2 linked regions of the Drosophila melanogaster genome follow. Changing the gene in region 1 together with any one later gene gives a genetic interaction. Each region holds a gene or a part of one and is shown in the gene's direction. Other genes may lie near its edges.

What was found.
Region 2: of ND-42 (region 1) and out, changing one suppresses a phenotype caused by changing the other (phenotypic suppression), as found in Drosophila melanogaster (one study listed by BioGRID).

Annotation. Positions count from the first base shown.
Region 1 is NT_033777.3:22,025,584-22,029,337, forward strand, and holds the start of ND-42 (NADH dehydrogenase (ubiquinone) 42 kDa subunit), read left to right. Parts: upstream 1-2,125; 5' UTR 2,126-2,437; coding exon 2,438-3,565; intron 3,566-3,632; coding exon 3,633-3,728; 3' UTR 3,729-3,754. Other genes in the region: Cchl (cytochrome c heme lyase), read right to left, coding at 552-807, 865-1,454. UniProt on the Drosophila melanogaster protein: Accessory subunit of the mitochondrial membrane respiratory chain NADH dehydrogenase (Complex I), that is believed not to be involved in catalysis. Complex I functions in the transfer of electrons from NADH to the respiratory chain.
Region 2 is NC_004354.4:19,320,217-19,323,970, reverse strand, and holds the start of out (outsiders), read left to right. Parts: upstream 1-1,864; 5' UTR 1,865-2,315; intron 2,316-3,754.

The DNA of each region.
Region 1 (3,754 bases):
TAAACATACATATAATGTTATGGGTTGCATATCAACTTTTTATCAGAAAATGTATGTTAAAAAAGTTAAGAAACGTCTAAAGTTATATTCTATTTACTATACATTTTTTAAATTTGTAGTAATGATAAAAAAGTAGTAAACGTATTTTTATAATTTCGCAATCATTTTAAAGAGCATATAAATAAAATATAAAACTAAAGATTAAGAAAAAAAATTTTTACAGGCATTTTGAACAGATGAGAATTCTGCATATACATAAGTATATCAATAAAAAAAAACTTTAATTAATATATTCCTCCACAATGCTATCAACTCGTTACTGGATAATTCGAAATCCTTAAAAGGATTTAAGTAAAGAATAAAATAAAAAGCAAAACCACATTCGAATTTTGGTGTTCAGAAGTCAAGATTCAACATTTATTTAAAGAGAGGGCTCAACATCGTTTCGCTTCGCAGCGTCTTAAACGCATTTAACCAAACTCCCTCTTCCATCCATTCGATAACTTAAGCCGATTTTGTACCTATAGCGATCATCTAAATATGCATTCCATCTAGTCGCTACCAGCGGTCACTTTGCCGCCATCCGCGCTGCCAAACTTCTCAAACAGCTCGTACTTCCAGCGCATGTAAGCTACGCGCATTCTGTCCCAAACGTTGTCCACGGAGTCCATGGCTGGGCGCACATCCAGCAGGGCAAAGCGGTAGTCTTTGTCCACCAGTCCACCGTCGTAGTAGTCGATGACGTAGCGCACATCCTTGCCGCAGCGATCGACTATCCAGTCATGCCTATCGAATGGCAGCTCGTATCTGTAAGACAATTCGAACATTAATTCAGGTGAGATCTTCCGTCTGGAGTATACTCACCCCAGCCAGCTGCGGAATCGAGCGCGCGGACTGAAGTCCTTGGCCTTGCCACCGAAACTCTTGAGGCGCGGATTGCCGCATTCCTTGGCGTGAAGCGCCTCCCACTTAAGTACCTCCTGCCAGGCCTGCTCGTTGTTGGCATTGTGGATGCGTATGATGTCGCCCATGTCCTTTTGCGATACGTCCTCGGTCTTCCAGCGCCAGCCCTTGCGTAGCATGGCGTTCCAGAACATCTGTTGGCTGGGATACTGCCAGAATTGAACGCTGCCATCCTCGGTGACTTTGGGAATGGTCGACGTCTGGCGGTCGGTGGGCAGTGGAAAGGGCTGATCTGCCGCCGGCTGTTGGTTTGCCGGTGGCATCATATTCAGCGGATTAACGTCGCTGTTGTCGTGCTGCACCGGACATTCGGAAGCGGCCTGCATCTTGGGATGTGGGGGTACGGCGGAGGCCGATTTTGCATCTCCATGCTTCTGATGCATGGGGCATTCTGGTGGCGGGGCACCACTGCCGCTCATGTACTTGGCGTGGTCCACCGGCACACTCTTCGTGGCCTCCATTTGCACTCGGGTGATGGCTGTATTGCCCATTTCTGCTGGGGATTGGTTAATAACAAAATCTGTGTCACGAGGAAAATCGCATTAGTTCTCAGTTGCGTAACTGTAAGGAGTGGGTTACACTCCCAGTGCTGGGCCCCAACGCCAGGACTTACTCGATCCTAATGGTCACAACTCTCGATATTTGTCGATCTTCTCCTGGAGCCTTTCGCCTTAAATTTTGATTTATATTTTCGTTAGTTCATCGTTAGAACTTTTGAGCCCAAAATGCAGCGAGGTTGTGGTCAGGGCTGCCAGACCAACGGAAAGTGGACCAGTTGTTTCTGCACCGTGACAATATGTTAAGTTAAAAATTTAAAAAATCAACTCGCACCGCACGGCAATGTGAGTTTATGGTGTGTGTCTGTCTACAAATGAAAAGCATTGTTGAATTTATTTCAAGTAAATTAACTTGTAGTTAAACACCCCAGCTGTGCTGTGTAGTGTTGAGCAGTCGCTTTGCGATATTTTTAAAAAGTAAAACAAATACATTTATACATTAAAATGTTATTTTGTAAGTGTTATATAAAGTTTTTAAAATACTGGGTTAAATTTCATTTCATATGAAATTCTTTCTGATTCTGAGAAAAGTCGCAGTTAAAGCATAGACAAACATTTTGATTTTACATTTTTGATATTTGAACGGATACCTTGACAGCCCTATTCGGGGAGTTTTCCAACACCAACCATAGCCCGAAATTTGTTTTTGGGTAGACTTCCGATATTTAGATTGAAAAGTGAGTAAATACCACCGGATAGAGCATTAAAACCGACAATTTGGGTAAATCTATGGAGCGCCGCAATGCTGGCCAGCAGAATGCAACGAAAAGATCCGCATATCTGCAGTTCTAGGGCAGAGATTACCGCACTACCTGCGTAGCTCCTGTGATGTAACCACACGACAAATTGCCACTGGACGAGATATAATTGTTATTATCTTGTTTCGTTTTTGTACTGACCCTTGTTTTCCCTTCAGAATGACCGCCGTGTTCCGCGTAGGACTGGTGCGGCTCGTCAGCCGCGCCACACAGTCGCCCAATCTACTCCAGGCGCAGACGAATGCCCTGCCTGCTGCCTTCCAGCAGCGATGCAGCATCTCCGGCAAGACGATGCGAGGTGGACCACGGGTGCCCAAGGCCGCCCCCTATCCGTACAAGACGAAGAAGTACAGCGTGTTCAATGCTATTTTCGACAAGACCTCCAAGCGTTTTGACGAGAACTCCAAGGTGATCTGTGTGGAGGGACCCATCGCGGCCGGCAAGTCAAAGTTCGCCAAGGAACTGGCTGAGGAGCTGGACATGGAGTACTATCCGGCAGTTGATCTGGACCTAATCTACATCAATTCGTACGGCTATGACATGAGGAAGTTGGATCCTCAGTTGCCGCCCAGCTGCCGAAGCTACGATGTGCGCAACTTCTGCCTGGATCCCAGCCACGATCTGGCTGCCCAGTTCCAGATTCGCATGTACATGCTGCGCTATTCGCAGTACATTGATGCCCTGCAGCACGTCCTTAGCACCGGCCAGGGTGTTGTCCTCGAGCGCAGCCCCTACTCGGACTTTGTCTTCATGGAGGCCATGTTTCGGCAGGGTTATCTGTCACGCGGTGCGCGTTCCGTGTATAATGAGCTCCGACAGAACACCATCGGGGAGCTGCTGAAGCCGCATTTGGTTATCTACTTGGATCTGCCGGTCGATGCCGTGAAGAAGCAGATCAAGGCACGCAATGTGGACTACGAGGTGCAGTCAAAGGTGTTCAGCGATGCCTACTTGAGCGATTTGGAGCAGCTGTACAAGCAGCAGTACCTCAAGGACATCTCCACCCATGCCGAGCTGCTCATCTACGACTGGACAGCCGGCGGTGAGACTGAGGTTGTGGTGGAGGATATCGAACGCATCGACTTCAACCAGTTTGAGGCCGATATTCACAACAAGAAGATGCTCGACTGGCGTTTCCCGCTGGAGGCCGAGTGGTGCGAAGCCCGTATCAAGTACTGCCATGAGAAGCCCGATCTGATGAATTACTTCAATGTGCCGCGTTTCGATGTCCCGGAGCTGGTGCGCAGCGCTGACGACGGCAAAGTCTGGCGTGATGTCTGGTTCAATGTAAGTTCGGTGTTTCCATTTCCCTGTTCGATTTCTTTTCACATTAATTCTGCCCCTTTGCACACAGGCTCCCGGCATGAAGTACCGTCCTGGCTACAATGCAGACATGGGCGACGAGGGTCTCCTCACCAAGACGAAAATAGGCATCAACCAGGGCATCTAGAGGGTTTTTGCTATGCTTTCGAGTTG
Region 2 (3,754 bases), on another chromosome or scaffold:
GAACCGATGGACTGTTGATGTATCGTTTATATTATTTAATAATGCCGAATAAATTATTAAAAACAAAAACTAGCAATGCTATATTCCATTGGCCATCACACTTTCTCCAAGTGCAAGGTTAAGGTGACAGGGGCGATAGGTTGCCGCCGGAACAAACGACTTACTTGTGTCGTCGTATCTAAGGAGTTTTCATGTGGGGAGAACTAGTGGGAGTTGGGTGAGAGAGCGCGGGCGAGCCAGAAAGAGAGAGAGAGAGTGGGCAGAGTGCACAGTGGAGCAATGCGGTGAAACCGAAATAGAACCGTGAGTCAGATTAATTAATTCGCTGTGCACTTGGTAACTTATTGATGGGACCGCAAGGATTGACAAATGAAGGATGGCTGGCTCATTACTAATTGATAAATGATCGAAAGCTTGGATTTTCTTTTCTTTAAATTGATGGGGATTAAGGTAAATGGTTTACATAATTACTTTATTGCCGTCGTAAAAATGAGAAATAGGATATACGGAATCCTTAAAATATTACAGGAAGGGATAAAATCGTAATTGTTCTTTTTTTTTACGAGCGACCAAACGATCGTTAATTGTGGTTAACCCTAGAAAACCTCTTAGGGGTTGCTACGAGTGAGGACTCAATACTTAATCTAGCCCAACCAAATTTTGCTACACAGTTAACTTTGGTTAATCATGAGTTCATTAATGTTTTTATGTTTTAAAGGACCTAAATATGCAATAGATATCAGGTATGAATTATAAATTCATTTGCATATGTTTGTGCATACATTTTTATTTTTTTGTATTCATCAGCACCGAAGTTCAAAATTGTTCTCTGTGTATGGGTATTTGTCTACCAACCAATTAGTGGCTACTGTCTACCTGGCCTGCGACCTTTGAACTTGCTGTGTGGCCGGCAAGTGGCAACAGTTGGTCGGCCATAGAGCGGCTCTATAAAGATCTATTTTCCCCTTACTCTCTGTCTCTCTCTCTCTCTCTGTCTGTTTGTAGCTCTCTCTTTTTTCCCATAAGATGATTTCTGAACGCAGATAATTATTCTTATTCTTATTATATTTTTGTATTAATTTGAGCCAATAATTTTGCCTTTTTCCAAAATTAGTTAAGCATAATAATTTCTATTATATTTCTTATTAATTTAGAAACGTGTTCAGCTCAAAGCTAAACAAAAACATGTCAAAAGAAACGGAATTTTTGTTCAGTGCAATAAGATCTCTGAGCGGATCTATTCAACAGTCCAAGTTCTACGTCGTCATCATGATGGTGTAAACACATTTGCCAAATCACATCACAGCCCACTGTTGAGCCGGTCTTGTGAGAGTGCGATAGAGAGGGGTCGCCCAGGCCAAGACAGAGAGACAGAGAAAGAGACAGGTGGAGAGAGAGGGAAGGCTATTGCCCGGCAACTGCTAATTGGGATGGCTAAATGCTGCATTGCATCCTCTGCCGCGATTCCTGCTGCACTTACGGTGCATCGTCGTCTATCCTGGCGCTGCCCACGCACGAAGAGAGAAGTTCACACTCTTCCCGCCTTCCGCCGGCGGTACAGAGCAAAAAAAAATTTTATTAATTTCGGTTAATTACAAATTTGTACCAGGGACTTAAGCTAACGAATTTCAGAACCGAAACATTCATAAGCTTATGCTTAACAACGTAATTATATAAAATAAATAAAATTGGGAATTTGCTAGCATGCCAAGCATGTGATGTGTAATGTGATCCTTGGTCAAGAGATTTACATTCTCTCTTGCTTGCCCAATGCAAATTTCTCTCAGTGTACGGGCCAGCTCTCTCCGACCATCTCGCTCTCGTTCCGCCGTTTTGCTTTGCCAGTGACTTTGCTTTGCTTTGGCGTAGAGAATGCTATAAAGCAGACCGCAGCAGTGGAATAGCAGCAAGTCGACTGCTGGCCGCGTAACAGTAAACACACCAACGAGCGGACGTACACGGAGCGAAAGAAGAAGTTGGCTACCACGAAAGAGTTATTGTTTGTTAGAAACACCAAGCGCAGCAGCAGCAGCAGCAGTACAAATATTATTGTGTGCCGTCCGAAGAGAACAGCTGAGCCACACGCTGTTTTTTAACGCTGTTCCGTTCTGCGGCACTTGCTGTTTGTTATCCGTATCCGTCGTGTTTCGTCGTCGTATTTGAACTCTCTTTTTGTTACTGTGCATATATTTTTGAAATCTCTGTGCTGCACACAGCGCAGGGGGAAAAGTGCTAGAATTAGCAGATCATCAAGACATCTGGCTAACCTGTGATTTCCAACACACCCGAAGGCAAATTGGCAACAAGTTACCACCGTAAGTCTCGTGTCGATCAACAAGTGAAGATGTTAGTTAAGTGTGGCAAAAGAACTGAACAAGAATTTATTGCATTTGCAAATATACATATGTACTATACCGATAGGAACGCGTTTTAAGAAAGTAATCATGCTTTTAATTTACGTGATGTGTGACTGTTATTTGTGATTCAATATAAGAAGATTAAGAAGATTAATAAGATTTTGTGAAATTTTCAAACTATGCCCAAGACAAATGTAGCCCACTGTTTTGGGGGTAGGGGATTTTCAGAAGCTTTGCTTTTGAGCATAAACCGTAATTAGAAGGCATTAAAAACGTGTGATTTGGAAATTCGTGAATTAAACCTTATAGGATTTCTCTCTCTCTCTCTCTCTGTGAGAGAGTGTGAGAACCCAAATTGAGTTTAAGAATTAGCTGAAGTTTCCATAATAACCACTGGCCAAGTGATTAGTTCACATGGTGGGTGGAATCCGTCTAGTCCAAACCATAATCCCCTGCCCAGTCTGATCTGATCCCGGAACCAAATTGAGTTTTGCCAAAGGTTTCAGCATTTTTCATGTGCATTTTTTTTTCATCTAACCATCGACGGGGAGCAGAAAATGTTTACCAAATTGAATTACACATTTTTATGATGTGCTGGTGCCTTGCTCTTCCCCCTTCCTCAAAGCCACCGCCACCCCGCCGCCTGACAGGCCTCAGGTGCTGTCCTGAATCTGGAAATCCGTGTGTCCGGGTGCCGAAGCCGGAATGGAAGGAGTCCACGTTTTCGAGAGCGGGAATGCATTTATGGCGCCGCCATTAGGGTGGACCAGTAAATTAGGTTAATTGTAGAAAGTAATCGAAAGCTTTAACAGCACCAAATTGCATATTCTGAATCAAGGAGACTGTATTTTTCCCACACTGCAAGTCACATTTCAATATGTAAGTGCTGCATTGAATATGTACATGTTCAACTTATAAATGTGTATTCTATATATATATATATATAGGCACATAATCTATAATCTGTTTTGTAATCACTACTGCTTTTTGCAACTTTATGGTAAAAAATACTTTGTAAATCCTTTGGTGTGCACCAAAATGAGCATGAATGCATAAGCAAACATAAGCGCTTAATTATGAAAACATACCGATTTAACTAGAGTCCTGGATTATAATTGACCGATTATTTGATTAAAAGGCATCCGAGGCATTCAAGAGCAACCAAATATTGTTGGCCGTTGATAACCATTGCTGGTTGCCAAGGTTTCCATAGTATTTGCAATCGGCTCAGAAGTGAAATGCTCTGTCTGAAATTCCGACTTAACTCCCCACCAGATAACCTGTTGCATTTCGCAATGGGGTAAACAATGGAATCACCTGTGCGCCCCCACATTTTGGCCTTCATATGGAAGCACATTCGTGCGCATTCATCTGGAAAATTGATGGTAAATTTCGCA